2 linked regions of the Tribolium castaneum genome follow. The protein of the gene in region 2 binds, or shares a complex with, the protein of the main gene of each other region. Links are inferred from orthologs where the notes say so. Each region holds a gene or a part of one and is shown on either strand. Other genes may lie near its edges. The genes, in order: Prim1 and PolA1.

What was found.
Region 1: PolA1 (region 2) and Prim1 share a complex: the UniProt entries of both Drosophila melanogaster proteins name them as parts of the alpha DNA polymerase complex. The link is inferred for Tribolium castaneum from reciprocal best matches to the Drosophila melanogaster genes PolA1 and Prim1.

Annotation. Positions count from the first base shown.
Region 1 is NC_087395.1:25,574,742-25,591,210, reverse strand, and holds Prim1 (DNA primase small subunit), read left to right. Parts: upstream 1-5,883; 5' UTR 5,884-6,030; coding exon 6,031-6,133; intron 6,134-6,177; coding exon 6,178-6,703; intron 6,704-6,757; coding exon 6,758-7,171; intron 7,172-7,580; coding exon 7,581-7,774; intron 7,775-7,828; coding exon 7,829-7,848; 3' UTR 7,849-7,907; downstream 7,908-16,469. Other genes in the region: aldo-keto reductase family 1 member B1, read left to right, coding at 4,281-4,313, 4,365-4,505, 4,554-4,925, 5,118-5,365, 5,413-5,673, 5,724-5,763; uncharacterized protein LOC659605, read right to left, coding at 7,918-9,286, 9,335-9,587, 9,634-9,787; uncharacterized protein LOC659544, read right to left, coding at 11,519-13,004, 14,749-15,013, 15,061-15,202. UniProt on the Drosophila melanogaster protein: Catalytic subunit of the DNA primase complex and component of the DNA polymerase alpha complex (also known as the alpha DNA polymerase-primase complex) which play an essential role in the initiation of DNA synthesis.
Region 2 is NC_087398.1:9,855,992-9,872,684, forward strand, and holds PolA1 (DNA polymerase alpha catalytic subunit), read left to right. Parts: upstream 1-8,478; 5' UTR 8,479-8,615; coding exon 8,616-8,631; intron 8,632-8,686; coding exon 8,687-8,884; intron 8,885-8,936; coding exon 8,937-9,118; intron 9,119-9,169; coding exon 9,170-10,439; intron 10,440-12,426; coding exon 12,427-14,772; intron 14,773-14,821; coding exon 14,822-15,030; 3' UTR 15,031-15,113; downstream 15,114-16,693. Other genes in the region: gustatory receptor for sugar taste 64f-like, read left to right, coding at 312-497, 549-691, 741-866, 913-1,067, 1,111-1,276, 1,328-1,423; gustatory receptor for sugar taste 64f, read left to right, coding at 1,980-2,277, 2,329-2,514, 2,560-2,714, 2,769-3,040, 3,094-3,256, 3,300-3,389, 3,441-3,539; zinc finger protein ZFP2, read left to right, coding at 5,141-5,287, 5,339-5,708, 5,761-5,918, 6,037-6,431, 6,485-6,615, 6,854-7,275; NADH dehydrogenase [ubiquinone] 1 alpha subcomplex assembly factor 3, read left to right, coding at 7,521-7,573, 7,626-7,752, 7,803-7,861, 7,909-8,248; DNA replication licensing factor Mcm7, read left to right, coding at 15,758-15,788, 15,841-16,210, 16,259-16,693. UniProt on the Drosophila melanogaster protein: Catalytic subunit of the DNA polymerase alpha complex (also known as the alpha DNA polymerase-primase complex) which plays an essential role in the initiation of DNA synthesis.

The sequences.
Region 1 (16,469 bases), on a different chromosome or scaffold from region 2:
TTAAATTAAAACGGCGCTATGTTTTCATTTGGGTTTAATCTCGCAACATGTAGCCTGAATCAAACTTTATTACAATTTGAAAAATTAACGTGAAACTATTATCCTGCCGGAAGCGAGGTCCTTTACCTTGTCACTTTTTCGCTCCCTCAACCCAATTCATTTACTTAACTCCCTTAACATAGAGTGCACAAAGCTGAATATATAAGAGCATTTAATTTTCTCATTAAGATAGAGCAGTAAGAGCTAAATTAATAAGCTCCACTTATCCGAGTCGATTCAAGACATGCGCACCTAAATAAATTATAAACTAACACAACTAACGATGTAACAAAATACGGAAAGAAAACATGACCTCGTTTCCAATTCTGAAAACTGAAATCCGAGGCGTGATTGATATTGTTTCGGAAGAAAAATTTAGGCTTTTTTAATAGTTGAATCCACGATTTCGAGCCTCAATAAGTGAAAAAACAGGTCAAAACAGATGAAAGAACTTGACAAATCCTTGAGCGTCCTTGTGAGGAAGATATGTATTATGTCGTTTGATTTAGGAGTCGCAAGGGGCGTGCTTTATGGAAATGATCCCGAAATGTCATTGCGAATTTATAACATTTGGAGGCGACGGTTGCGAATTTACATACTGCAAGCATTTTGATTAAGTCTTTTCAAGCTTTAATCACCGACCACCGAAAAAATAAATCGGATCAATTGTGTGATGTGTTCATTGAAAGCGAGCGGAGAGAAAAAGTTAAAGAATTTCGTGTTTGAATAATAGAAAAAAGGGTCTTGGGACGAGAAAGGAAAGCGGGATAAAACAGAGCTTAATTGGAGTAACACTTTAATGAATTTTTTACGCGACAGGACAATGGCAGCAGGGGCGGACTCGCCCAGGCTTGATTTTTATGTACACAAGGATTGCAACGGGACCATTGCCAATTTGAGCCAAATTTCGGTGCTTTTTACTTTTTAAGTTTAAAAAGTTGGGAAAAATATAAAATGAGAGGTGTGGATTTTTTTTAAGGTAAAAAAATAACTCAAAAATAAGAAGTCGTAGAGTAAAATCGTCTTTTAAACTTACTGCAGTAAAGTTTTATGGACTTTTATATGTCCTAACAACCCACTAGAATTGTTAAAAGTCCAAAAAAGTGACATTTGTTCGCTTTTTTGATGTTTGGTTTTTTCAATTTTTGTCGCGATTTTGGTTGATTTCGGGTACCCGGAACATTTATCGAGCAATAACTCCGAAACTATTAGAGATAACCCTATGAAGTGTATCATCGTTGGAAAGCTCTTTACATTATCTATTTTTTCCAAAAAAGATTATTGTTCTCCGACTAATAGTTTTCGAGAAAATTGCAGATAAATGCAAAAATTGGTGAAATTTAAAAAAATTCATAACCAAAAAACTATTGGGAATTTGGCAATTTTGTCAATGCCAATCGATTCCCCGGATCATTTTGCAATGGTAGGGATTAAAATCGTTTCACTTTTTTGAATAGTTTAGCTGTAATTGAGAAAATAAAAAAAATAAAAAAAAAGTTAACACTAAAATCGATGAATTTTTTAAAATACATTTTAATATAAAATTGTCTGGGAAATCCGTCTGTGCAAACTGTTTTGTCCTCGAACGATTGGTTACCGAGTTATGAATTCTTTAAGATTAAAATAAAGTTTGACAAGAGCATTAAAAAATCGATTTTGGGAGCTTCTGAAGCGATTTTCCTTTGGAAGCATTACGTTAAATTAAATTTACTCCCGGAAATAAATAAATATCGATACTAAATGTATTTACTCCGCGAAAAAATCCCGCAAATTGGGTTAAATGAAGCAAGTTAATTACGCGCTCACTCCTAATAAACTCGTAAATTCCTGCTGGAAAAGCACTAACGGTTGGTGACAGGTGCACTTAGTAATTTTTAATCGATTCTCCTCTAAAATTACGGAAAACAATGACCATATTCAAGTCTAATTTAATCTTATCAAAGAAATGAGACTCCTTTAGAAGCGAATCTTCCAATTAGACATAACTAGACGTTGTTTCTTGCATTGTGATGAGCTGAATTGTAATTAAATTTTTCAAGTGTTCCTTTGTTCCAACTTTTCGCGAAAAAAAAAAACCTAATTGAAGTAATTAACTGTGATTAAATCGGGCCCCAACAATTTAGTGTCACACTTTTAACTTGACCCAAAAACCCGGAAAATCCCTGACCTTGCTATCAATTCCGGGACGTCTCGTCCAAACAAAGATCACGTGTTCGTTCCATCCCAATTCCCCGTTTCCACTGTCGCATTATTTAATCCCTCGAGCCACCAGCGAGCAAATTAACAAAGTCACTTGGACGCACTCAACGAAACTGAGATTTGAACGTTAGCTAAGTGTTTATCTGCTGACCCTCCATGACTTAATTTGTTTTCGGCTATAAACTGATTTAATCGGCGACCCATGCCTTGTTGTGCAATTTTCCAATTCGAGAAAATTTCAAACAATTTCACTATAATTACTAGTTGCTAAACAAAAGTAAAAGTTGCAAGTGGGCCGCTATTGTGAAAAGAATCGCTCGCTGCGGGTTAATCTAATTTCGCCCATAACTCGGACCCAATCAATAGTCTGCAAACTTGTAATAGATGTAATCGGCAAGGGACTCGCTTTCTGAGACATTTTTCTGCAAAATTGCCAAGTTTTTAATGCGGCTCTTGTGTAATTATGCCACATTAGGTGGAATGCTCAAAGTTTTTAAGAGGTTTCCGGATGTGTAAACACTGAAATAGGGCGTAATCTCAACTTTAAATTACTTCTATTGTAAGTGACTTTTATCTAATGTTTTCCAGTCGGAAGTTTCGCCATATGAACAGAATGAGGACATCGGAGGTATTATATTATTTAACGACCAAGTCCCCAATTGTATTTTTTGTTATTTTAACTCTTTGAGGACGTTTGAGAATTTTTACAAAATGATTGGTAATGCGTTAAAACGAAAAAAAAAAAGACTGTTTCCGCCCGGGATCGAACCGGGGACCTTGTGCGTGTGAAGCACACGTGATAACCACTACACTACGAAAACATATCTTCTACACTCACAATCACTGATTATACGTTAAATTTTTATTAATTGTTTTCTATTTTAGTTTTACAAAAATAAAGCTTAGTTCTATTGTGTTCGTTTGGTCGTAAATGTTAATTTTGGCTCAAGGCAAATTTTTACATTTACATTTACCATTCGCTTGATGCAAGAGGATTCGTAATAAATTGGAATTTTACTTGGCTGAATTTAAATCAAAATTTCCAAATTGATTAAAGGTTATTCATTTTGCCACTCTTATCTTAATTAAATTGTATAATTTATTTCTTACTTATTTCCAAATCGTAAGAAAAAAATTTATCATTTCCACAAGTGCTGAAAGGTAAATTACTGAAACTAATTAATTTTATCTTTGCTATAATTAATTTGATTGAATTTATAATTACATAAACATGATTTATTTAAAATAAGTCAAGGTCAAATGTGCATTATCAGTTGCATCCGATAAATAAAAATAATACAAAAACTTTTTTTGTTAATGTCGGCCACTATTAATTCACTCTTGCATCGCTGGTTGCGTGTCATAGTAATAATTTACTCGTTTTTGCCTTTAAAGCTCTTTATTAATAGTGCAAAAACACTTATTACATTATTTGATGGTGTGTTTTTTAGCCTATTGTTACAACAATTATTTTTTTTTATTTTTGGCTAAAATTATGATGGTCACGTCAAAAAATATTTTTCTTTTGCTGTAGTAAAGAAAACTTCTAGAGTTTTTAAAATTGTAAGAATACGTTAAGAAGTTTTATTTAAAAAAAAAACTGTTTCAACTTTTGTAATAATTTTGATCGATTTCCGGTACCCGGAACATTTATCGAGTTATAACCCTGGAACTATTGGACGCAACTTTATTGAGTTTATTATCGTTGGAAAGCTCTTTTAATTATCTATCTTTTTCTCGGACATTGCTCATAAAAACAAAAATTGGTGAAAATAAAAAAATCTAAAAAATTATTTGGTATTTTGCGTTTTTTTTGACGCCAGTTAATTTTTTAGATCATTTTACAAAAATAGTTTTACTTTTTTGAATAGTTTAGCTGTAATTGAAAAAATATAAAGAGAGTGTCTCCGAAGAATTTAATTTCTGGTCGACTGTACTTATAACTGGTTGCATAACCTCCACCTTATGTAATAACATAAACACGGAAGAGCCAATAAAACCTTTCAGCTGTTATTTTTTCAAGGTTTTTCTAATTTATTCTCATGTTGAACAAACTCACGAGTGGTCTAAGACTGGTACTTTTCCGTGAGTAAATCTCCGTTTTTTTTTAATGTCTGTCGTTGTAGCTTCGCATTTTTAACAAAATTCTTGACAATACTTGTCAGCAATTCCATTCTGCGTTATTTTATACAAAAATGGGCTCGCAACTGTATTTGAAGCTCCCAAGTGGGCAAAAACTGCCGGCTTTGGGCCTAGGGACTTGGGAGGTGGGTTATTGGCATCAAATTTTTTTTATTTCATTTTTTATCAATCAGGCGATAAGCGATGAAGAAATCGAAACTGCGGTCAACAACGCCCTAGATTTAGACTATCGGCACATTGACACAGCTTGGGTTTATGAAAATGAGGCGGCGATTGGGAAAGTGTTGAAAAAACGCTTTGCTTCCGGCTTGAAAAGACAGGACGTTTTTATTACGACTAAACTTCCGATGACGGGGGTTCACCCAGACAGGGTTGACATGTTTATAAAAAAGTCATTGACGAATTTGCAATTGGATTACGTCGATTTGTACTTGATTCATTTCCCCGTTGGTTGTACTTATTACGAGGGGGAAGCACGGCCCAGATTTAACGATAAAGGGGAGATTGAGACTGAGGGAAAGACCGACCACGTCGCCCTGTGGAAGGTTTGAAAAAAAATAACTTAACACAAAAAACGCTTTATCAATTACCGAATTACCACCGTTTTACCAGAATAAAATAGTGGGCTATTTGATGCGCTCACTCGCTATTGCTCGTTCGTGCTTTAAACAGTATTAATTATGAACGAATTAACACAACTTGTAGCTATTTTTTGCCCATTGTTGTAAATTTTGTAGAAAATGGAAGAGCAGGTTGATGCCGGAAGGGCCAAAAATATCGGTTTATCAAACTACAACATTTCTCAAATTGAAACCGTGCTAAAAAACGCAAAAATTAAACCCGCCGCACTTCAAGTCGAACTCCACGTCTATTTGCAACAACGCGAACTTGTAGAATTTTGTCAAAAAAACGGAATTGCTGTTATTGCCTACTCTCCTTTGGGGAATCCCGGCATGAACAAGTTTTTGCAAAAAATGGGCCAACAGTACGATTTTTGCGCCCTTTTTTTCATTTCTAGACACTTTTTTGCAGACCCAGACAGTTGGCAAATATTTTGGAAGATGCAAAAATTAGTGAGATTGCAAAAAAACACAAAAAAACACCAGCTCAAGTGGCGTTACGTTTCTTGATTCAGAGGGGCATTGCGGTTATTCCTAAAAGTGTAACGCCGAAACGAATCGATGAAAATCGAAAATTGTTCGATTTTGTGTTGAGTGACGATGAGATGAAAACTTTGTATGGTTTAAATGTGGGGGAGGCGGCCAGAGTTTGCGATTTTAAGGTCTTTGGAGGGTAAAGAATAATCACAGAGTCAGTTTTTAGCCTTACTTTGGTTATTTTAGACTTGATAAACACCCCGATTTCCCGTTCGCACAAAAATGAGCTTTTTTAATTGAAACATTACAATGTGACCGGATGTTGGTTGCATAACCCATGATATAAAATGATTATGTTGTATTTTACCCTTTACTTAATAAATAATCAAATAAATAGCAAATTCATGTTTTTACACACTGATGATATCGATCATTATGCAACGAAATTTAAATAAAAAAATAAATGACGTAATGTTGGTTGCATAAGCTCGCAACCAATTGCGACACAACCTCACTTTTTTTGGCGGGAAAAGTTGTCACTGTGTTTTGCGTGATGAGTGCCTCTTTGTACAATGAAGACAGCCTCCCTGACCTGCTCCCCATCTACTACAAGCGTCTGTTCCCCCATACAGCGCTCCACAAATGGCTTTGCTACGGTAAGTTGCCTCCAAGCTCGATTTTGGTCAAGTGAGCCCCTCAGGTGACCCCAACGTGTCCAACCGGCGCGAAATTTCGTTCACTCTAGTCGGAGACATTTACCTCCGTTACCAGAGTTTCGAAAATGCGGAGGACTTTGCCCAAGCGCTCCATAAACGCTTCCCGGTTAAAATCGATATTGGGGCTATTTACAAGCAGCGACTTGAGTCGTCTGGAAGTTACTCTAGCTCCAAAACACCAGTCGAGCGAGAGATTGTGTTTGATATCGATATGACTGATTATGATGATGTTCGGACTTGTTGTACGGGAGCTGGGGTGTGCCCCAAATGCTGGAAGTTTATGGTGATTGCGTGCAAGATTTTGGATGGGGCTTTACGGGAGGACTTCGGTTTTGAGAACATTTTATGGGTGTTTTCGGGTCGGAGAGGCATCCATTGTTGGGTGGCTGATAAAAAGGCCCGGATCTTGGATGATAATCAACGGTCGGCTATTGCTGAATATTTGACTTTGTTGCGAGGGGGCCTTGTGGTACGAAAAGTCAAGTTTTTCAACATGCATGCGGCCACTGAGTAATTATCTCCTCATTTTTGCTCCCAAGTTGTGTAATAATTGGTTAATTCAAGGAGGGCCTTAAAAGTCATTGATGAATATTTCGAAAAGTCGATTCTTGTCGAACAGGACATTTTAGGGACTTATGAGCGCTTGGACGCTTTTTTGGGCAACATTGACGAGGGTTTTAGTCCTTTGTTTCGAGACGCAATGACCAAAGTTCAGACTTCGGTCGAGCGCTGGAAGGCTTTTGTTAACACTTTTCAGACGTTACAAAGAGAGCAAAAAATACCAAAACACTACAGATACATGGTTGAGGAGATGAAATTTTACTATGCGTATCCGCGACTTGATATCAACGTCACCAAAAGCTTAAATCACTTGCTGAAAGCGCCGTTTTGCATTCACCCGAAAAGTGGCAAAGTTTCGGTGCCTTTTAAGCCCAAATTCATCGAGCATTTTGACCCAGATGCCGTACCCACAGTCAGGTAATTAACTGCCCGACACTGAAAATGTACCACTTTGAATACTATACAAGTGTTGCTGTTATACTTCTGCCCGAAACTGTGTCTTATTTTTTCACATTTTTTGCCCGATTTTTTACGGAAATATACAGGGTCTCTTTTTTGAGGCTGGCGAATATTTGTTTAAGTAATTTTGATTATAAAAGAATACATACATAGAAAAAAAAAATGGTTTCTGAGTGATTATTAGTGTTTGAGGTACAGTAAAAATGCACTAACTCTGTATAAAAAGTGGCACATTTTTTCCGGTGTGCAGTTTAGTATTCACAGAGCATTTTGCTTTCTTAACAAACACCGAGAAAAATGGTTTCTGAGTGATTATAAGAAGTGGCACATTTTGTGTGGCGTGCAGTTTATTCAGGAAGCATTTTAGCCAACTCTTGGACGAGATAAACACCTACGATGCCAAAACCAAAGCTCAGGAGAAAGATTTAGCGGAAAATTCCCAAACCAGTGTTAAAATAAAAGACTACAAGAAGACAAGTTTACTCAAATATGTTACAATTTTTTGCGAGTTTTTAAGAGGCTTGCAGGCTTCAGCTGCCCGAAACAGGGCCATAAAAAATGGTGATTTTTATTGCCTTGATGTAACGAACACAAATTAATTGTTTGAATTTCCAGGAACTGTAATGGAATATTAATTAGTTTACGTTTTTTATTACTCATTGTTACTGATTACGAAATAAATGAACATTTATAATTTTATCGTTTTATTTACCCTTACACACACAATATTTTTTCAAAAACGAATCACTAACACACCTAACAATGGCAAAATCTAGCCTTTTAATTTCACCATCGAGCTCAAAAACCTTATCAACATACGTAACAAACGCCTCAAAAACTGAATAGGGGTACGTTTGGACACTTATTAGTAATTTCTTGTAACCCGAACTCCAGGAAGCACTGGAACTTAACACTTTCCTCAACTCGTAACTCCGACACATTCGCTGATCAACAAACTCATTTACTTTATTCACAATAAAAAGTGAGGCGTTCCTCACAACTAAATCGTCAAGATTCGTCAAAACGAACCCATCACAGGGACAAGACCTATTCTCAATTTCCGAATCCAGACACGACTTTTCCGTAACATCCATAAAAAGCGACTCACACCTCGGACAACTCTGACTAGGTTTCGGGTCCTGATTCACCTGAGTCAGCACCATAATGTCTTGCAAAGTCATGTACAGATCAAACGGAGTGGTTAACTCGTTTTGCTTAAGTTTCAAAAACCTGAACTCTTCGGAATAAATCTCTTGGAATTTTTTCGGGACTAGAACATAAACGAAAGGCAGTTTTTCCTCCAACCAGCCCACATTTGTAAACTCGTTTTTCCCCTCACGCCTCCCTTGATCGCTCAGGAAGAACACGAACGTGTTCGCGAACACGCCTTTCCGGTTCAGGTGCCGGAAAAGTGCCCGGATCGAGTAGTCCAGCTTCGGGAAGGTTCCCACAGTTGCCGTTTTGATCCAGAAAAGGGCGAAACTTGGGTGGTTTTTGAACGTGACACTAAAGTCTTTGGCCAGGTCCAGGAGGCGTTCAAAGGGCGTTTCGCGGTCTGGACACGGGAACATTTTATTGAGTTCCACGGTTGGGTATTTTTCGTTTGCGATAAAATAGGGCCGGAAGTAGTAATCTGTGAGTTGTTTGTGGAAGGTGAAAGTTTTTGACCACACGTCATCTTCACCGAACGCTGTGGTGTAGTTGTATTTTTCGAACTCGGACCAAATTAAATCACACTCCATGGTTTTGCAACCGCTTAAAAGGGCCAAAATGTTGGTGAAAGTGTCGTCACTCACTTTCGCGTAGCCGTTCAAAGAAACCCACTTATTGTTCGACGTTAGATAATGACGGGTTTTTGGAAAATTCCGGATGAAACTTAGGCGCGAAATCTTGTCGATTCCTAGAATCAAGACACTGAAAGGTGGTGGCCAAATGTCGGAATTTTTGGTCGTTTTTTTGGCCGTGATCGCAGCATGGACTTGTTTGTATTGTACCGAACCAGTGTCACACTTGACCAAGACGAAGTCAGTGGCCAAAGTCACATTTTTCGTAAACTTCCGACATTTGGAAATTCTACAAAATTAATTAATTAAAAATTTGCCCCATTAACAAATTTCTTACTTGATGGTATCGTCGGGATTTACTCGGTCAAAGTTTCGTGAAATGTTCGAATAACAGCAGGAAACTTCGGGGTAAAACCCATTTTGTTGCTTGACGTGCAGAGTGGCCGTATTTTCGCTTTTTGTCACAAAAGTGAGGTAGTTTTTTCGGTTGCACGGTGTGTATTTCTTGGGGATTGAGTACATGAATTGTTGGAAATACATTTGGGAGAAGTCCGGAATCAAACACTTGTTGTTAGAGACAAGTGCTGGGACTGCAATTTTGTTTAGTAGTTGGAGAAATGCAGGCACTTTTCTTACTCGGAACGTGGTGTTTGGCGTCTTCGATATGTATCAGAGATATTGTGGTGGTGGTTCTGTTGTAGAAAAATAAGGGGGTGAAGCACATTAGGGAGATACTAGCCACCAGGAATATTTCAAACACAATTTTGTTTTTGTGGATTCGGAGAGGCATTTTGACGAGCTTTGACGTCGCAAGTAATGCGATTTTATTCGTAGTTGTCAGGGTTTTCTGTCTCTAAGGGAAAAATCGAAAAAAATCAACATTCAACTATTTTCAACTTTATCATTTATTTTAGAAATTAGAGTTCAAGTGTAGAAATGAGGCGTCCAGAATCGAAGTTTTTAATTTCTGGTTACAATCTTTTCGACTTTTTCGTAGAAAGTTAAAGTACCGACGTTATCGGCGTGAAAACATGACACCTTGAAGATAGTCTAGATCTTATGATTAATTATTTTGATAAAATGTAATTTTCACACAGTTATTACGGCGAAATTAGATAAGTTGGGACTAAACATCCGGCGGATTAATTATTTTTTCGATTATTTCTTATAATTTAGCAGAATCTATAAGATTGCATCCGTTTGGAAAATTTTGATTATTTTTAAACTATTTGTTTTATCAGCGGCAATGGCAATCCTAATTGTTACTCATTAGCGTGTTATAAAACAATTCGCATAGAACACAACGTCCCTTTTTCGCATTTATGGACCCGGAAATAATGAGCAAACAGTTTCCCAATCGGCATTTTCAACAGAAGCAATTGAGAAATTTGTGGAAAACCTTTGATAATTCTAGCAAATTAACAACAATAACATTCGAAAAGTCCACAAAACTTCAGCTTGAACTTATTAGTAGCAATTTTCGCATTTTTGGAAATATTATTTACTTGCCTGCAATGTGAGCACAATTCACTCTCGCAACTCCACTTGTATTAATCATTAAAATCACGCAAAATATAACACGAAAGTAATAAACATTGAATGTTTTGGATTTTTCTGTAAACTAGATTAGTAAAAAATGTTGTTTCCGACAGGCTAGTTCGGTCTATTTGACTGAAAACTTTAATGTCATGACTATGTGACCGAGTCAAATTTTTGCGAATTATTTTTTTGATAACAATTAAAAAAAATTGTTATGTCAAATAATAATTTTGAGACATCGCACGTAATGCGGTTTATTTCTGCATTCTTTGCGAACATTGTATGTTACAAGTTTTTGACATCGCCAAACAAATATTTTTGAATCAGTATTTTTTCCAAACAAACCAAACGATTTCCTATACAGTGAAACCTCTATTAACGGACAGCTCTATACAAGCGACATTTTTGTAGGAATGTAACTAATCCTAATTAAAATTTTCACCCCGATTAGCGGACACCTCTCCACAACGGACAATTAAAGGTTCCCCATCGGTGTCCGTTGTTGAGAGGTTTTACTGTATAGTTAACTCAAGTTTGTAATTTTTTACACATGTTTAAGCTTTCAGATAAGTAAAAAATTACGCTATTATCGACATAATTTCGGGATTTTTGGTTAATTTTTTAAAAATTTTGAGACATCGTAATGCGATTTATTTCTGCATTTTTTTCGAACATTGTATGTTACGAGTTTTTGGCATCGCCAAACAAATATTTTTGGATCAGTGTTTTTCCCAAGAAAACCACTGCTATTTTTATAATTTAGTTTGAAATGAAACACGAAATAAATAGAAGTGCATATTTATTGACACAAAAGACTAAACTGATATAAAATACCCCTCCTAAAATAACGACATCGATTACAATAACGCATTGACTAGAAAATCTTTATTGTACCAAATGCAAAGTATCACAATTTTTTGATTTCTCCACTCGCGCCCGTCTGAGCAAACTTTGGCACCGTTGAAAAATAGGCACTTGACCACTACCGACAGTAACAGAACATCTTCAGATAGGCCTCCTCCACACACCTACTGTGCTCAGCGTACTTATCCAGGCGACTTATCCCTCCAGTCAGCTCAAACTGCGCCTCGCCTTTCCACAGCACCGTCGCTTCGAAAACCGCCCTGGGCCTCGTCTCCATCACCACCAGAAAATAAACATCACTCTTGTAACTAAACCGTTCGGAAACCCTCGCCGTAATAATCCTCCCTACGGAAAATTTGGCACACTTTGAAGCCCCATTTCTGGCGCGGATTCTCTCCTCAATTTGGCCGACAACGAATTTGGCAGCGTTTTGAACGGTTTGGTTGGTTTTTGGCACCGGGTTATAACCGCCACACGTGCACCAATGCGGCTCGATGGCTGCGTCTTCGCACGATCTCTCCGACTCGGTTTGTGCGAAAAGTGAGGCGCATTTCGGACACCCATCGCTCGGTTTCTGCGTGTAGTTGAGTCCTGAGAGCACCAGGATATGTTGCAGGGTCCTGTAGATGTCGTAGGGAGTGGTCAAGTGGTCGCGCTTCGTCTCCAGGTTTCGGAACTCGGACGGGAATTGGCGCTTGAAGCGGTCGGGAACCGATATGTAGATAAACGGGAGGCGTTCCTCCAACCACCCGGTGTGCGTGTACCGTATTTCCCCGAACCTGATCCCGTGGTCGCTCAGGAAGAAGATGATGGTGTTGTCTAGCACGCCTTTGGCGGCGATGTCCTCCAGGAAGTCGCGGATTTTTCGGTCCATTCCTGAGGGCAGGTTGAGGTCGTTATGACTGAAAGTGTTCGTCCAGAAGAAGGAGAAACTTGCCACGTCTTTGAAACTTTCAGAAAAGTCTTTAGCTATGTTCAAGACGCGTTCACCGGCTGTTTCAGGGCCGGTACAGTAAGCCATTCCGTCCCTTCGTACCGCTTTGAGTCTCTCGGAACCTAGCATATAGGGCCGGAAATAATAATCAGTCGGTGGTTTCGTAAACCCTTTCTTCTTGTAATTAAAAGTGCTGATCGGAGCCTCGTCCTCTGCATATCCAGTCACATAGTTCAACTTCTGGTAGTCGAACCACATCATGGGACACTTGTCCATCTGGCCCAAGCTGCTAGGGTTGCACACCCTGTAGGTTTTGCTCTCGTTGAAGCCGGTCATGATCGCCATGACGTTCGGGAACGTGTTATCGCCCATTTTGTTGTAACCTCGTAAGGGAATCCACGCGTTCTCTTCGAGGTATTGATACGTTTGTGGTAAAGCTCGTATAAAATTTAAGCGTGATATGCTGTCGATTCCGACGAATAAAACACTGAATGGACTCGTTGCACTTGTGTTCATTGACGTGATTTTGGCTTTGATTTGCTTTGTTTGGGTTATTGCCGCGTGGGTGTTCTCGTAGATTTGCTTCTTTGTTTTCAAGTCGATGCATTTCACCATGATGAAGTCGTGGGTTAGGGTGGTGTTGTCCGTGAAATCTTTACAAGCCGATATTCTGAAAAAATAAACATTGAAGTTTGTCTAATTTCATGTTGCAATTAATTTTGTGTTTGATAGTTGGATAGCTCGAAAAATTAATATTTTTTATTAATTGTATTTTTATTTATTTATATTTATTATTTTCTGGGTAATAGAAAATGGCAATATAATGTTTTCAACCCACTTGTTTATTGAGTTTTGTACTTGAAAACGTGCTTTAGCTTTCGAAGCAGACAAAAATTACATCAACTGACTTTTTTAAACCATTTCAGCAATGAATTTATGTCTTTGCATATCAGAATTCAAAAGCGCCAATTTTGGCTCAATCCGACAATTTTTTTAATAATTTCGAAAAAAATCATTTGAATAAAAAATTTGCTTAAACGCTCGAAAAACGGCAAAATAACATTTTCGATCCAATTCGGCAATTTTTCAGCATATTTTTGACGGAATATCATCAAATAATTTGTTGAATCCTGATGTTCTCACTTATTTAAAACGTGCAAAATAATGTAATATTTACGACCCAATTTTGTGTTTTTGTGTAGTCTGTCAAAAAAACACAGTTTTAAGCTTAAAAACGTGCTTAAGACAAAAATTTGTTTATGTTTAAGCAAATTTTTCGGTTTATTTTAAACGTGTTAAGCCATTGAAGAAGTTAAAAAGGTTCATTTATCCATTTGGCGACTTTTTGGGTATTAAATGCTCAAAGAACACAAAATTTGCATTTTTCTGCCAAAATCCAGCTTTTTCGGTTAACTTTAGCGAACTCTACCGAAAAAAAAAACGAATTTTAAGTCTAAAAATGTTCTGAAAAAAGCAAGAATTACAATTTTTTTTTACAAGTCTGATGTTTAATTTTGTCAAAATTAAGTAACAAGTTCAGTAATTGTTCTGGTCGTGGTTAGCTGTGGTTTTCTCCTAACATGAACGTATGTTGCGTGATAAGTTCACATGGTTTGCTGTCAACTGTTTAAATGTTGTCTTATTTTTGCATTTAGGAGTTTTTGATAAAAATTACATTGAAAATCATGATAATTGTATGCAGACGTTCAAGAATTTACTTTGCAAGCTCAGTTGAACGTGTGAATTTTTGGCCGCACTTTTGGTTTGACACTGACAGCACTGACAGCTGTCATCGTCATTGTTTTGTAATGTTAATCGAGACATACGTTTTTTGTGACAATGGCCACACATAGGCGATCTGACCAGAATAAGCATAAAAGGGATAAGAGAAAAGTTAGGAACATTTTGACCAGATTTGACCATGTTTCAGTTTATTTTTGACAAAAATTTGCCAAACATTTTCGTTTTTGACTGCAATATCAATGTGATATTTTCATTTTCGACTGAGTTTTGTAACTTTTTGCTCAGATTTAACGAAGTTTCGACACAATTTTTATCCTAATTTTGTGATTTTTTAACTAAAATAACTGAAAAACAGATCAAAACCATGGTTAACCCCTCGAATATAGTTAAAAAATAACACCACCTTTGACATAATTCAGAATTTCTCTGGTTGTAAAGTTCGAAAAAGTGCCAAGTTAACATTTTCGCCTCAATTTGAGCTTATTTTTGAAGCATTTCGCCAAACAATTTCAGTTTGAAGAATGTATTACCTGATATTGTTAACTTTGTGATTTTTTACACATATTTAAGTTTTCAGAAAAGTCCAAAATTACGCATTATTCTGATAATTTCGGGATTTTTGGTTCATTTTTTAAAATAATTGAAAGATTTTGGTCCGATGTAGCAAATACCTGATGCTGTCGTCCGGCTTCTCCTTGTTCTTGCTTCTTGTGATACTGGCCATACAGCACGATATGTGTTCTCTAAGCTGGGACGGAACTGCGTTAGTGTTAATATGTATAGTGGCAATATTGTCGTTTTTCGTCACATGAGTTAAAAAATCGCGTTTGCTGCAAGAAATGTACTTCATCGGCTTGTAAAACTTCAAAATTTCGGCCTCGAACGGATCCAGATTCGGGATTTTGCATTTGGGTGTTGCGACCAAATATTTACTCTCTACGGTGCAAAAATTGGAATTAATTGTACACAAGCTATGCACTCACCATTGTAGACCTCGTCGGATTCTGTGGTGAAAAAAATGGTTCTTCGGTCGAGAAAGTCGTTATTGTAGTACAAAATCGGGATGAAAACGAGCACAGACACTGCAATAACAACCCCGATTTTGTAGCCGCTGTGGTCGAGCATTTTGGACCGATTTTGTCATAATATCCTTGCTAATTTTTCGGTCGCTGCAACTTCAAGGTGTTGGAGGCGTCATTATTTTTCCGGGTAATTGAGCACCTGCAATTGGAATTAGCACCAAACGAACATGAGATAAATAACAGAAACTGACTTGTATTCAGTGCGGGACGTGGAGCATGGCACTGGGAAAAGGGATGATTTGAGAAAACATCAATGATACCCGAGTTTGCGTAGATCGCGACTTGATAAATCAGTGGGTGGCGAATTTATCGGAATTGGAAAGACCTTGTTTCACTATAACTACTTGGGACAATTATTCGATAAGGAAACACGCGCTCGGATCGAGTGCCACTTGATACTACGACTTTAAGGGCGTTAATAATAGATTTGGCTAACACAGCACGAGATGTGACCGCTTGTTGGACACTCACAGTTTCGTTTTATTGCAAATTGTTCGCTGAGCGCGATGAATTAATTGGGAAAAAAGGCGCACTTAAAATAAACCATAGGTATTCTGAATTTTTTCATTATTCAGAACGTTATCTTCTGACAGGTGGTGAATTTTTGAAATAATAAAAATTCTATAAATATGTTCCTAATCGTTTCGATAAATAATGTTCCCACATGTTTCCGTGTTGGTCAGTACGATACAGGCGAGCGGAAGTTTTCAATGAAGTCACATTTTCAACATTGTTTTAATCAATTAATTGGCAAAACGTTTTTTTATTATTTTTAAACATACTCCAAGCAGTATTTTACTGGATGTACGAGCCGTAGACGAGTGTCAAACTTAGGAGTCATGAACAGTTAACGAATCAATTAATAATTAATTGTTAGTTAATTTAAATGAATTGATAAATTGGTAGTTCCAACTAAAATTGGTAAAACAAGTCTCATTTCAGGGGTGTACAAGGTTATATTTTCGTAAGTGGTGAATACTTACTTATAAAATGTTTGCGATAAGTGAACCATTTTTTTGTATTTGGTAATTGAAAGTTCGAAAATACATCAAGAAGCTCCAAGATTGTCAACTGTCCAATTTCGAGGGTAGTATGATTTTTTGAAAATGATCAAAAAACGGCTAAGTATATTATTAAAAGTAAACTTTTTCGAATGGAAATCAAAGGAGCCTTGATTTCTATGAATATTTTTATAAAATGTATTACCTTTTATACATTTTGAAATTATTACGAAAAGCTAATTTTCGAGCTAATTTTAGTACCTAATTTTTATCATTAATCACAAAGTAGGCTTTGCAAAATGGTAAATA
Region 2 (16,693 bases):
AGGATAGTAAAAGCTTGTTGATTCAAAAACATGTTTGAGGCTAACTTACCGCAATTCCAAAGGGATATTCAAGGCATTATTTTTCTTGCCCAAATTTTTGGGCTCTTGCCTGTTAGACTTGGCAATAAATTAGACGAAGTATTTTTTTCATGGCGTTCGAAACGAGTGGCAATGTCGTTAATTGTAATTCTGGGGTCGAGTTTTTTAATGTTCACTTCTTTGTACACAAATATTGATCTCGGCTTCAACTTGCACCGTTTAAGTAATTTCGACAAAAATGTAAATTGTTGGGTTGATTGGTTTAATTCCAGGCAGCTTTATTTTTAACGCAAACAGCGCGATTGAAGGAATCATATTTTTCAATTTGGCCAAAAGTTGGCCACAACTCATTGAGAAATGGAGTCGTGTGGAAATGGCGCTTGATAATTGGAAAAATGACAAGTCTTTGAAAAGAAAATTTTATTTAACAATTTGCACGATAATGTCAGCGGCTGCAGGTAGTCACTAATTTTAAAAAAAAATTTAATTATCTACTTGTGTTGTTACAGTCGAACATATTTTATCAATAGTCAACACTTGCTCCCAAATTCCGTCAGAAGTTGAGGACAAATACACAACTTACTTTCTGAACACTTATCCTCATTTGTTCAATTTTTTTGAGTTCTCGGTCCCTCTAGCTATTTTCGCTGTGGTATAAATTAATCATGGTAATCTGAAGAAGTTAACTGATTTATTTGTAGGTAATGAACCTTTGTAACGTTTTTGTGTGGAACTTTTTGGATGCATTTTTGATAATTATAAGCATTGCTCTCACCGAAAAATTTCGCCAAGTCACTGCAAAAGTCATAGTCGCACATAACGAAAAAGTACAGCTACAAAACATTTAACAATTGATTTATTTTGCTGCTTCAGATACACTTGAAACATCATTGGGTAAAGCTAAGAGAAGACTACAATCAAATCTCAATTTTGTGCAAAACAGTTAACAAAAAAATAAGCACTCTTATTATAGTGTCCTTTGGCACAAACATGTTTTTCATAATGTCTCAGCTCTACTGGAGCCTTAGGTAAATCAAGAATAAAACACAGTTAAGTTAACGCAAATTTTAGCATTGTCAAAACAACACCGGTTGAAAGCATTTACTTTTCATTTTCCTTTGGTCTCTTGGTTTTACGAACAATCGCCGTGACTCTCTTTGCATCAAATATTAACGACGAGAGCAAGAAATCGATGAATTATCTTCTCTCATTAAGTTCGGACATTTACAACTCGGAAGTAACAAACATAATTTTTACACGCACCAATTTATAATTTTTTAATCCACAGGTTGAAAGATTCGCGTTTCAAATTCACTCTCAACCGGTTGCTCTTACCGGAAATGACTATTTTACAATCACAAGAGGACTTTTATTCAGCGTATGATAATTTCAATTTACGGTAAAAACTAACTGCTTGTTTTAGATGGCTGGAAGCATCGTAACATACGAATTATTTTTAATTCAATCAAATGAAGCTGTTTCTTATTGAATAAATTAATCTAATATTTATCTCAAAGTAAATTACAGAAATGAAAAAATAGCAAACAAGATTGTGAGATCACAAGTGCAACTTGTTTCGAAAACAACTAAAGGGAAACCAACAGGTGTTAATTATGATTATGATAAAATGATCTATCTTTTGATACGTGCGCTGTATCAGTAAATTATTATTAGGATCAATTATTTCCCTGTTTGTGTATTTGTTTCTCCTTATGCTTGAACAGTTGGCACAAATCAATAAAAATGTAATTCCATTGCAGTTTGCGAACGAAATCCTTTCAACAAACCCTTTGTCAACATTTGTAGGTGGATAGTAACGATATTAAAAATAATTTTTCGCTTTTGGCCGATATTGCGATAACATTAGTCAACAAACAAATCCAGGGAAAAAGCCCACAATCATGTAATTTCTCCCAGTTGAGCTTCCACTTTGTGTAAAAATGCGTTTAATAAGAAAGATGAAATCAGATTTAGTTCTCACTATCGAAGCTTCAGATGCTGTTTTAGCGTATCCTCAACCCAGCTTCCACCAAACATTCTCGTTTGTTGTAATTTTCGGCCAGTTTTTCGGCATTATGCCTCTGCATGGAGTCAGCAGAAAAAACGTGCAAGAAATCCGACTGGAGTGGAAATCATTTCGATTTGTTTATGCCGTCTACAATATCTTTGGCGCTTTTGTTATGGGACTTTTCTGTATTTTGAAATTTGCGTTGGATGGGCTGATGTTAGACAAGACAGGTATTTGTGTCTCAAACGTTTTTGATTTTGTACATTTTTATTATCCCGTAGCGACGATGTCCTTTTACGTCCTCAATTTTTTTGGAAGCATCCAATTTATCATAATTAGCAAACATTGGGTGACCATTATGAAGGAATGGTCTTTTATGGAAATGTCTATGAGAAATTACGGTTCTTCGATTAATATGAAGAAAAGATTTGTTGTTATGACTTCAGTGATTATGACATTAGCTTTAGGTAACCCCTACTGTTTCAATTCAAGTGTTTATAAAGTTTTTCCAGTGGAACACCTTTTATTTATTGCAAACGCCTTTATAACAAGTCAAAGTTGCGAAAATGCTACTTTGTATAGTGGAGACGAAATGTATTTCCGTGTGGCGTTTCCTTCAGTTTTCACGCTTATTGATTATTCTCTTTGGAAAGCATGTTTTGTTGAAGTAAGACGTTAAAAAATATTCAAGGTTTAGGAAACACACGAATTTCTATTGCAGATTGCTAACATTTTATCAACTGCAACTTGGAATTACACTGATTTATTTATTATTTTAATAAGTTGCTCACTCGCCTCACGTTTTGCTCAAATCAATCACCGTCTCAAGAATAATAAACTGTTGCACGAAAAATTCTGGAGAGAAATTAGAGAAGATTATAACAAACTCGCACATTTGACGGCAGTTGTTGACAGAAATATCGCTGCTTTAGTCGTAATTTCGTTTGTTAGCAATGCATTTTTTATATGCGTCCAGCTTTACAACAGCCTAAAGTAAGATTCTGCTTTTGCAAAATTTGATCAAAAGCTTGACAACAATATTTTAGAATTCGTGTCGGTACCGTCGAAACAGTTTACTATTTTTTCTCTTTTGGATTTCTGGTAGCTAGAACAATCGCTGTTACACTTTACGGAGCTTGGATTAACGACGAAAGCAGAAAACCACTCGAAATTCTTCATTCGGTTCCTTCGGAACATTATTGTGAAGAGGTATAAAATAACAAATTTGGCCAATTTTACCTTTCAGTTTTAGATTAGTCGTTTTATTCAACAAATTAATTCCAGTCCTGTGGGAATAACAGGCTCAAAATTTTTCATACTAACCAGAAATTTTCTTTTAAAGGTATGAATACGTTTTTGTTGATGTTTAAGAAACACTGCATTTATTTTGCAGATGGCCTCAACGATTGTAACTTTTGAACTAATGTTCCTCCAGTTTGGACCATTAATAAATACCAACATCAACCACAGATCCACAGATTGTTTTATGTGAATTATTGTATCAATTTTTGGAAGATAATAAATACAGTTAATGAAGTTATGTTTTACCTTTATGTTCATCTCTCTCTCTCAAAACAAAAGGTATTTCCGTTTATTAGGATGTGCTCTTCCGTTTACTGGATTCGCAGTGGCCATGATTTTTATTAACAATGTTTTTCGGGACTTTACTAAACAAAATCAGTTAACTAAAAATTTTTAGAGATAAATTAAATATTTTCGTTTTATTTCTTTTATAATTTAAGAAGTAAGTCATCTAAGAATTCAACGCAAAAGTTTGAAGTTATGATTTACCTTTACGCTCATCTCTTTTTCTCTCCAAACAAAAGGTATTTTCCCTTTGTTAGGATGTGCTCTTTCGTTTATAATTTTGCGTCTTTACGTACTTTTACCTTTTGCCGCATTATTTTCTTATTTCTGTCAGTTTTATGCTCCGCTATACGTTTATACGTCTGTGTGTTCTCTCAACCTCTTATTTCTGTTTACGTGTTGTTTCCTTACCTTTTCTATACTTTTTTTCATGGAAAAATTGTTACACCTGATCCGGGTTCGAACCCCCGGCTTCCCCCGTCGAAAGTGGCGCTTATGCCGCTAGGCCACGAGACCCCAAGTACTGACCGTCTTTTGCAGATATTTTAACACAAACTTTTTAAATAAATCAACATTACAAACTAAATAATTGCAATAATTCACATAAATGGCTAATACTTTTAGTTTAAATGTCGGCGAATTAGCTCGAGAAAACATTTTTTTCCACTTTTTTCAATTTAATTCTCTAATTTTTCACCAGATTCCATCAAAAGATACCGAGCGTATAAGTCAACTAAAGTTTGAAGTTATATTTCACCTTTACGTTCATCTCTTTTTTTCTCAAAACAAATAGTACGTTTACAATTTGGCGCCTTTAGGTACATTTACATTTTTGCCGCATTATTTTCTGATTTCTCTCAGTTTTATGCTCCGCTTTACGTTTATACGTCTATGTGTTCTCTCGACCTCTTATTTCTGTTTACGTGTTGTTTCCTTACCTTTTCTATACTTTTTTTCATAGAAAAATTGTTACACCTGATCCGGGTTTGAACCCCCGACTTACCCCGTCGAAAGTGGCGCTTATGCCACTAGGCCATCAGGCCCTAGATACTGACCGTCTTTTGCAGATATTTTAACACAAACTTTTTAAATAAATTAACATTACAAACTAGACAGTATGTTTTATATAATGTTTAATTAATTGAATATTTGATTAATTGAAACCATATATTTTACTGTCCACGTAATCTACGCTTGCTACAAAAAAAAATTTATGCACATTACTTGTGGACCATCTGTATGTATGTACAAAGTTATTCGTATAATGTTTTGCGCCTGACTGGGTAAAAATGCAACTCAAAATACTTTTTATAAAACATAACTTTTAAGTATTATAAGCAATTTGACCCCCTTTTTTTTAACAGTATTTTGCAACAATTTTTTTAATTATTTACAACGCTAGTGTATAACTGGTTACATAACACGCTTTCTTTGGTTTATGCTGTGCGCAACATGTCTGCCAATCATCGAAATAACCTAAATTAATAAACAAACGATTTTTTAAAAATGTCTTTCGAAACACTCCAAATCGAAAAGATATGTAGAACCTGCCTTTCGGAAGAAGGTGACATGCGTTCGGTATTTAGCATTGACGAATCTATCGGCGAAACAATGCGTTTGTTTGAAATGTTAATGTCTTGTGCTGCAGTGCAGGTAAATCAAAGGTGGTCCCCCTTGTGCCCCATTTTCAATGTTTCTCTGTAGGTTTTGGAAAACGACGGATTGCCCAACCAAGTTTGTTTACAATGTGTTCATTACATAACTCGTGCTTTTTCATTTAAACAATTATGCGAGAGATCAGATGCAACGTTGCGGCAACTCCTAGGCAAACCCATGCAGGCCACTTTTATGGAATTAAAACCATTATTGTCTAGTGATCAACACGAACCTTCATTTAACGATGTTATAAATACCGTCACGGAAAATATACAGGCCGTAACAGATTCCGTAAATGAGGCTTTTAGTAGCGCAGTTGCAACAGTGAATAGCATAGACGTTGGGGATTCTTTCAAGTCGGAAGGGTCCCAAGACATGAAAATGAAACTGGAGTTTGTGGACAATGACGTGTTAGGAAGTAAGTAGAAGAAACTTATGTTTGTTAAGTACTTTATTCACATTTTTGTCAGTTGATCCAGATTCGTGTGGTAGCGATGCCGAAAGCAAAATAAACGAACTGAGAGCTAAAAGAGAATCAAAGAAAAAGAAAATTAGAGACGACACTGAACAACCGATTTATCCATGTGAGGAATGCACTCAGTGTTTCACTACAATGATCGATTTGAAGGTTATTTTGCAAACCAGTCCCTTGATCAATGAAGGAGCTACATTGAAATCTGTCTTCACTGATCAAGGAAGCTGTGTTTCAACTATTTCAGTAAAAATTCTCAAAAAAAAAATTGCAGGCCCATGCTAAAACACATCCGAAAATTAGCAGACACATTTGTAAAATCTGTAATCAAGGTTTCGCAAGTGCGAGCACTTTGTGTCGACACATGAAAGTACATGATGGCGCAAAACGGCATTTGTGTAGTGAGTGTGGCAAAGGTTTTGCGAGATCGGATGATCTTACAAGACATATAAGAACACACACTGGTGAAAAGCCTTTTCCTTGTAAATTATGCGGCAAATCGTTTGCTCAATCTTTTCGTCTGTTGGAGCATATGAGGGCGCATGCGAACGAAAAAAGTTTCATTTGTTCAGTTTGTGGCAAAGCCTTTTCACGTTATACGAGTTTGGCGGCGCATAATAAGACACATAGTGGCATAAAAAGCCACGCTTGTGGGGTTTGTGGCAAAAGGTAGCAAACCATGTGTAAAAATAATACTTTAATTTACGAAAAAAAAATTATAGGTTGTGTGGTTCTGGTTCTCTTGCAATGCATATGAAGACTCACACGGGCGTTAAAGACCACATTTGTCCTTACTGTGGCAAAGGTTTTACCACACCGAGTAATCTGACCATACATAAAAGGACGCACACAGGTTGGTTTACTTGCATTTATTTCCACCTCGCTTCATAGAAAATGATATTTTGCTCTCTAGTCTAAAGGTGCAAAATATATCTTTACCTCCCTAGAGAGATTTTTAGGAATTAGGGAGTAAAATATCATTTTCTATAAAGCGAGTTGCAAAAATAATATACACATTTTTCACAGAAGCAAAGTGAATTTCCTCTCTTGTGCAATTGCAAATATTATTTGTCCATTGTGTCTGTTTTTAGGTGAGCGTCCTTACGTTTGCAACGAATGTGGTAAAGGTTTTCCTGATCCGTCGAGACTCACAGTCCATGTGCGATCACACAGCGGCGAAAAGCCTTACGTTTGTAGCGTTTGTGGCCGTGGTTGTGTCAGTTCGTCTCAATTAAAAAAACACAGAAGAATACATACTGGCGAAAAGCCATACCAGTGCAATCTATGTCCAAAGGCATTTCCACGAAGCGAAGATTTACGCATTCATATAAAAACTCACACTGGGGATAGAAACCATATTTGTCCTTTTTGCAAAAAAGGCTTTTATCAGGCTTCAACTTTAAAAGTACACCTTAGAATACACACCGGGGAAAAACCGTACACTTGCAATATTTGTAATAAAGCTTTTTCGCAAACCGGGCCCCTATCCACGCACATGAAAACGCATTCATAGCGTACCTAAACTTTATTTATTTATTTACTAAACTTTACATTTCAGTGAGATTATATTGTATAAAGTAGCGTCTATTTAGTAGTTATACACATAGGAACACGTATTTAATAACTTGGGACTATGTTGGTGAAATATTATTATGTACTGCCTAAATAAATGCAATTTTAATAACAACTGACTTTTTTAATTTTCCCGCCAAAATTTTATCAGATGTTCAAATTACATAACCTCTGATTTCCAGAAAAATGTTTAAACAAAGCGTCAGTTTGTTCAAATTAGCAACAAATCATACGATTAGGTTAATAAAACCTCAGGTAATTAACCGTCTTGTGACGCTTTTTCGGTTTTAGACGTTTTTTGTACGGCAGTAAAAAATTAAGCGCTCCACCGGGGGCTTACGAAGGTGAAGGAAAAACAACCGTAAACATATTAAACAATGAGGACGAGGTGGGATTAATGATAAACGGCTTCAGTCAAGTATTATTCAATTCCGTGGCGTAATTACAAACTGATTGTTTAATTTCTAGGCGGGTTTTAGATTAAATAACGATTTGACGATTTTAGGCTCCGTTGTAATATTTCCAAAGTATACGTAACGTGTTATCGAACACAATTATACCAACGTTTTTTTAGATCAGTTCTTTCATGGAATGTTGGCGACATCAACGAAATTACAGATGAATCACTTTCGTTATTTACCATATTAGAACCCAAATTAGATATAATTGTTTTAGGAATAGGAGATCCACAAAAAGATTTCAGTTTCTATAAAAAAATTGTACCGTTTGCACGCAAACACAAATTAACATTTGAAATTCTTCCTACGGAACAAGCTTGTGCAACGTTTAATTTTTTAAGTTCTGAAGGAAGACATGTAGCTGGTGCGCTAATACCACCACAAACTGTCGTTACCACTGAGGATGATGTGCTGCAAACCAAATTAAGATACCAGAATTTGTACGAAAGAGAATAAAGGAATTTTGCCGAATTAGTTTTTTTTTTTTTTGAAAGAAACCGCCTAAATGAGCAGTGATGCCAGCACTAGATACCTATGTTTTTTCAATTAATTTTCACAGAAATTGTCCCAACAAGTTTTTATTTGGATTAAAGGTTTCATAAACTTTTCCCGCATGAACTATTTTTAAGATAAACACCAGTAGATAAACTAAAAAAATTTAATTCTGTAAATATGTCAGCCAACATAAAAACAAATAAAACACTACTATCATCTATCACGTTTGTGAGGTTAGAATTAAAGTTTTCCCGCCAAGTCAATGTGAATTTTTTATTTTTCTAAAAACCAGTAAATAGTTGTTTGTAGTGTTTTTCTAATAGTGATAATGGAAGACGATACCTGTGAGTCACAAGTAAATAATATTTAGTTAAAAACTAAGCGCATCTTTCGTTTTAGCCGAAAGAAGGCCCAAGAGGCAAAAGCGGGACTCCTCTTACAAAGCTAAAGCTTTCGAGAAATTTAAGCAATTGAAAAGTGGCCTCCGAAATAAATACGAAGTCGAAGAACTCGAAAATGTTTACGACACTGTTGATGAGAAAGAATACACCAAAAAAGTGTTAGATCGTCAGGATGACGACTGGATCGTTGATGATGGTATTTTTTTATGTTAAAACACTTCAGATTTTAATAGTAATTCGTTTAACAGACGGCAGTGGCTATGTAGAAGACGGTCGGGATATATTTGATGATGATTTGGATCATGCTTCAATAGCTGCAGCTTCTTCCAAGAAAAATAAGGGGGTTAAACGTAAGAAAAATGTGGCGGAAAATGCAGGTCGCGGGAACTTACAATACCTCATTTCGAATATGCCATCAAAAAAGAAAGAGGTCTGTTAATTTTTTACGATCAAAACGTAATATAGCTTAATGTGTGTTTAGGAAAAAAAGTTGGATCAGGATGATGATTTGGCGGAACTTTTACAAGAAATTAATGAAACTCCACGTGAATCCAAGGCCGCAACATCGAATTTTTCCCCACTGTCGGTAAAACAAGCTGAAAAAGATTACATGAGGAAATTAACTTCCATCAAAAAACCAGTAATAACTCTCAGCAGAACACCGAAAGCGAAACAACCACTTAAGATATCAACGGAGGAAAATCACGCAAAGCCGACTGAAGAAACGATTTTAACGGAAAATAAACTGGAGCCAGAAATAACTCAAGCGAGTTGTGAAGAAATTGCAGAAACTCAAGCGAGTTGTGAAGAAGTTGCTGAAACTCAATCTGATGGCTGTTTTGATGACGATTTGGATCTGTCCCAACTAGAAGAGTCTGAAGCAGAGCAATCCAAACCCCAAATTGAAGAAAAGCAAGATTTGTGGGAAAATATTGAAAGCGAAATGTTGAAAGAATGGTCCGTATCCCAAGACACCGAAACCACAATCGACTTGCAAAACTCCGACATTCCTCTCGTGAAAATCGACGACAAAAGCGTTTTCAGATTTTTTTGGTGGGACGCTTACGAAGACCCATTTATCAAACCGGGTGTTGTGGTTTTATTCGGCAAAACCTACCACACTCAAACGAAAACCCACGTGAGCTGTACCGTAATTATCCGTAACATCGACCGGCGGATTTTTTTCTTACCCAGAGTGGAAGAGGAAAAGTCCAAAAAGCCGGTCACGTCTCAGGACGTCTACGCCGAAATCAACGAACTGATGAAAACCAAAGGAATCAAAAATTTCAAAGCTCGACCCGTCACGAAAAAGTACGCTTTCGATCTTGAAGTTCCGTCAGAATCGGACTATGTCGAAGTTAGATATGCGGCCACAGATCCCCCAATTGATAAAACCACCAAAGGGCGGACGTTTTCGCGTGTTTTTGGGAGCGAGAGTTCATATCTCGAGATTTTTTTACTCGATCGTAAAATTAAAGGGCCCTGTTGGTTAAATATCGCGAATCCGATACCGGAATCGAATCCCTCGACTTGGTGCAAATTGCAAGTAAATTGTGACAAATTAACCGATGTTACAATATGTGAGGAGGCGATTGAACCGCCACCGTTGGTCGTCACTGCTCTTAACATGAGAAGAGCTTTCAATCCCAAGACGGGATTAAACGAAATCGTGATGTTGAGTCTTGTCACTAATGTTAGTTATTCCGTTGATAAACAAGCACCTACTGAAGCGTTCCAAAAGCACTGCTGTGGTAAGTTTGTCCGATAAATTTTTTCAATACAGTGCAACTCAGAAAATTTATCATCTGACGATATGAATCTTTTGCGAAACAACATAGTTGTGCAAATTTTGTAAGTTGATAGTAGAGCTCAAAAGAAGTGAAATTGTTTTTTGGCAAATTCTGAGAAAAATACTTTATATGATTCATGAAAAAAATGTTCTTTGGTAGGTTGATATGTTTAATACTTTTAATTTTTTCGTTAATTTGAAGAAATATATTTTTTAACTGGAGATATATCTAAATGAGGTGTACATTTTAATGCAAATAACATGTGTTAGTGTTAAATCAATTATAAACAAATAAATAATCTTTCAACTCTCTCCTGGAGAGAAACTTGGAATGTTATAAATAACAAAATTAGACACTTTTGCAATGATCGCCATAGAATAACAACGCGATAATTTAGGAAACCAAGCAGTGATACATTTTTCGAAACTGAAAACAAATAAAAGAGATTACAGCTTAAATGGTAAAGTTAAAAATGATTTTGTATAATGTATAGGTAAAAGGACGCTAAACTATTGTAACTGATAGATTATTAATATGCATTGTACATTATTTGAAATAACAGCGCAAAAACCCTTAGGAAAAACTGGAGCAGGCTTTCATTGTTAAGTCCAAAATTTGTTCTTTCGTTAATAACACAATAAAATTTATAGCTACGGCTTTAAAATAGAATACACTGTCTAATTATTTTCTGCCGGTGATAATTACAATCTTGAAAGGTTAATATAAGCACTTGTTCTTTAAAAATTCGCAAAGGTACAATTGAAGTAATACAATATAGGCTATTTTCCCTTAGAGTTTTGGTCCGCGAATAAATTTGGAATTAACAAAACTTTTAAACAAATATGAAATTTTAATTAAGCTTAGTTCTTTAATATCTTTTAAATTGAATTAAAATTTACAAACACAGCCTCAGAAACATGAGTCCCCTCATAAAAAATTATAAAAAAAATTGTATTGATTTTTTTTGGCAAAGATACCACCAAATTTCATTCACTTAAATGTCACTGCCTAATCATTATGTAAACTTTCGAATAAAGTAATTCTAATTCTCTGTGTCAAAGAAGAAAAAAATTGGTTGACATATTTTATCCTCTACCGGTTAAGTTGTTGCAAAAAAAATTATATTTTCTTGAATGGGTTTTTAATAAATACATAATAACTGATCTAATTTATTAAAAATGAAATAAAAGTAGTCTATAGTCAACAATATTACCGTTCTTTTCTCGTTTTATACCAAAATTACTACATTTTATAGAATAATTCATTCATATAATTAATAACAGGATTATTACATAAGCTCTTGATATACCACGTACTAAAAATATTCGAGAATTTACAGAAAAAGCAATTAATTTTGATGCTACTGATTATAATGTAGCATTTAGGGAATGTGTAAATACTTTGACTTCAAAATTTTTTAGTGTTTCACGTTACAAATAAGCCGCAAAACGATGTACGAAGCTGAGAACAGAAGAATCGAATTTTGTCATAGACAAAAAAGTACAATATAAAGTTATTATAGTTCGGCTAAAAAATTACACCATTATTATACCATTTTTTGGACAGACGAAGAAAAATATTATAATAATTGTTTCTTAAAATGTCGCTTCTTGTTTTAAAACATTTTTTATTTAATTAAATTAAATTAATTAAATGTGCACTTCACATCACATTGTATGTGATTTAAAAATTTAACATTTATTTTCCACTATGGAGCACAAAAAAAATAAAACAAAATAAATGCATTGTTATTGATTGCAATATGCATCTTTTTCCCTATTGTCTTTTTTTCAAATTTGAAATTAATTAAATTCATACGTATAGGAACGGCTCAGTCTACACAACTATCAAATACTTTGGTCAAAAGTTCGTTATAAGCGGCAAATTGCATCACACTTTAAATCAAATCTAGTCTGCTCCATCCACTGTATCTAATTTCCAATTTCAGTTTTTTACTGTCCGGACACCCAAGTCCTTTCATCTGACCTCTTCACTGTGATGCAAGACTGCAAGATAACAACTTTGCAAAAAATGCACTCGGAAAAGGCCCTTTTGAACTACTTCATCACACAATTTTCGAAACTAGACAGCGATATAGTGGTCGGTCACGACCTACAAGGCCACCAAATAAGCGTCCTTGCCGAACGAATGTTCCGTCATAAAATCCCAAACTTCAGTAAATTGGGCCGCATAAAAAAATCCACGTTTTCACGGCACAAAATCGAAAAAGAACTATTCGTCGGCCGACTCGTTTGCGATGTCAAAACCGCAGCGAAGGAATTGATCAGATGTCGATCGTACGATTTGGGGAGCTTGTGCCAGGCCGTTTTGAAAATCAAGGACGAACAACGAACCGATTTGGAGCCCGACGATGTGCTCAAAATGTTCAGAAGCAAAGAGGAACTCCTCAAACTTGTGTCCTTGACCATGCAGGACACAGCGTTCGTCCTCAAAATCATGTACAGTCTGAACATCATCCCCTTAGCGCTGCAGATTACGACCATTGCGGGCAACGTCATGTCGAAGACTTTGATGGGGGGGCGGTCAGAACGCAACGAATTTCTCCTCCTCCACGCCTTCTCCGAAAAAAATTACATTGTCCCAGATAAATCGTCGGGGAAGAAAGACTTCGGCGAGAAAACGGCCAACAAAAAGGCGACCTATTCGGGCGGCTTGGTCCTCGACCCGAAAATCGGCTTCTACGACAAATTCATCCTGCTAATGGACTTCAATTCGCTGTACCCCAGCATCATCCAAGAGTACAACATTTGCTTCACCACAATGCCGCCGAACCTAGCCGAGGACAACATGGTACTACCCGATGCAACTCTCCCGGCTGGAGTCCTCCCAACTGAGATAAAAAAGTTGGTGGAAAGTCGGCGCGCAGTCAAAAAGCTGATGAAAAGCGCGGACTTGAGCCCCGACCAGAGAATGCAATACGACATAAGACAAATGGCCCTAAAGCTCACCGCCAACAGCATGTACGGGTGTCTAGGTTTTGCCAATTCGCGATTTTACGCCAAAAATCTGGCCGCGTTAATCACCCACAAAGGCCGCGAGATTTTAACAAACACAAAGGAAGTGGTCGAAAGACTGAACTTTGAGGTGATTTACGGCGACACCGACAGTCTTATGATAAACACAAACTTAGTGGACTTCGACCAAGTCGCGCAAATCGGCACCAAAATCAAGCAAGAGATCAATAAGCTGTACCGGCAAGTCGAGCTCGACATTGACGGTGTCTTCAAATACTTACTGTTACTCAAGAAGAAGAAATACGCTGCTGTGACTCTAAGTAAGGACAAGGAGGGCCGCTTGAAAACCGATATTGAGTACAAAGGCTTGGACATAGTGAGACGTGATTGGTCGAGACTTGCGGCCGAAGCGGGGAAATTTGTCCTCAACCAAATTCTAAGTGACCAAAGCAGCGAAAATCGCTTCCTGAATATTTTGACTCATTTGAGCCAACTTCGGGAGGATCTACAAGAGGGTAAAGTGCCACTTTCCCTCCTTGTGATCACCAAACAATTGTCGAAAAACCCCGACCAGTACCCGGAGGACAACACGTTACCACACGTCCAAGTGGCTATCAGATACAACAAGCAAGGGGGGCACTATCGGGCTGGGGACACCGTCCCTTATCTGATCTGTGACGATGGGACGAAAAATCCGGCCACGCAACGCGCTTACCACATTGAGGAATTGAAAAATTCAGAAACGCTCAAAATCGACGTTACTTACTACCTCGCTAATCAGATTCATCCGGTGGTGAGCCGCATTTGCGAACCCATTGAAGCGTTGGACCTTGTGCAAATATCCGATTGTCTCGGGGTCGATAGCAGCAATTTGAGAAAAGTAAAGGTGGACGATGACAACGGAGAGAACGTAATAGATCCGGAAATAAAGTTCCGGAACGTCGACAAGTTTGTATTTAAATGTTTGGTTTGTGAGAGCGAAAACACCGTTGATGGTCCATTTTCTAACAATATTCCGGTTTTACAAAAGTGTCAGAATGCGCGCTGTAAGGCCAGGCCGGCCGATTACGTCCCCTTTATCCAAAATCAAATGACCGAAACGATAAATTCCTACATCGAGAAGTTTTATTTGAACGAAATGTACTGTGAGGATCCGATGTGTTGCAAGGAAACTGTGAGGATTCCGTTGAGCTCGTCAGGACGGGTTCCCTTTTGTCAAGTTTGTAACTCAGTCTTGATCAAGAAATATTCGGGTTTGAGTCTGTTCACGCAGATTACGTATTTCCAATACATTTTCGATTTGACTAAATTGAGTAAAAGTGAGTGGTTGAGGGTGAGATGAGTTCGAAATTGATTTTCTGTTTTCAGTGCCATCGCTGGAGCTTCAAGTCGAGAAAGCTTACCATGAAATAAAGGAAACTGTAGAAAGGCGTTACGAGTTTTGTGGCTTTTCGACCGTTAAGATGGAAAATATGTTTGCTTGGTGCGAACACAGGAAAAAGGAACAGGAGGATGAGGAAATTCCAGATTTTGCGATGGAAGAAAGTCTGCTTAATTTGATGTTGGAAGATGAGTGATTTTTATTATTGTACATTGGAATTATAAATGTTGCGTTATTTATGTACTCGTAGTTAAGTAAATTACAAATCTGGCGTAAAAATTCGTTGCTTAAAAAACCTACCTTTAAATCATTTGTAGTCATTCTGCGGTGGCATTTCCAGCTTTTTTTTGTGGCAGCACCTAGTTAATCTATGACCTAGCTCCCAAGAAATCCCCGAAGTAATTGAAAAGCGTGAAGCCTTTTTTCTTGTATATCTTTAACCATACGCGTATTGAAAAATACAGAACGAAGGGCAAATTTTAAATTTTCTCATGTTTTTGTCTGAAAATTTTAGTTTTTTGTTTTTTTTGCATTTTCACCATGTAATTAATTAGTGAATTGATTGGATTTAAGTTAATTTAAATCGTTTTGGCGCCGAAACGGTTTGATGCTCGAAGCGCCTCATTTTTACTCATTTGCCGTACTATTTTTTGGTTCACAAAGTCTCATTTCGTCTCCTAAATTATAGTCTCCGTAACAATTACCATTTTATTTGTGATTCTAACTTCTTATTATTGTATTAATTATTAATTTATGAATAAATTGAATTTGTGAATGTGTAGCCAACAAAACAAACCTAAATTCCCACTACTTCCCTGTTTTCGCGCCAAAACTGGCGTGTGTTGTGTGCAAACAGGTGGTCGTAAATAAACGTTAGTAAAACTCCAATTCCGGCTTGAAGTAGTGTAAATTCGCCAAAAATCATGAACCGACGTGATTACGACAAAGATAAAGGTGAGTCCAGTCTATAAATGGTTAATTTCCACCTTACCGGTTCATGTTTTAGAGACCATAAGAACCTTCTTGTTAGAGTTTTGCATTCAAGATGATTCCGGTCAGAAAAACTTTAAATATTCGAATCAGTTGACAAAACTGGCTCATCGCGAGCAAATAGCCCTTTACATCGAGCTTGACGATCTTTACGAACACGACGATGATTTAGCCAAAGCTGTAATAAACAACACTCGTCGGTACACGACTTTATTCTCCGACGTTGTCTTCGAACTGTTGCCCACATTCGTGGAACGCGAAGTCGTGGCCAAAGACGCTTTGGACGTTTACATTGAACACAGGCTAATGATGGAGCAGCGTTTGAGACAACCGAACGAGCAGAGAGATGCTCGTAATAAATTTCCACCGGAATTATTACGCAGATAGTAAGTTAAAAGTACCAGTTGGGTGGGCACTTTAAATTGGCGTTTTAGCGAAATCTACTTCAAAGACTTATCAACTACTAAAACCGTCCCAATTCGCGAAGTCAAAGCCGAACACATTGGGAAACTGGTCACCGTTAGGGGCATAGTGACGCGAAGCACCGAAGTCAAACCTATGATGACCGTAGCGACCTACACTTGCGACCAATGCGGGGCTGAGACCTACCAACCTGTCCACGGACTAAGTTTCATGCCGGTGTTGATGTGTCCTAGTGAAGACTGCCGTGTGAACAAATCAGGGGGGCGCCTATACCTCCAAACCCGTGGCTCCAAATTCGTCAAATTCCAGGAGCTCAAAATCCAGGAACACAGTGACCAAGTCCCAGTGGGGCACATCCCCCGGACTTTGACTATTTTTTGTCGGGGCGAAGTCACTCGCCTGGCCCTTCCGGGGCACCACGTGGCCGTCACAGGCGTGTTCCTCCC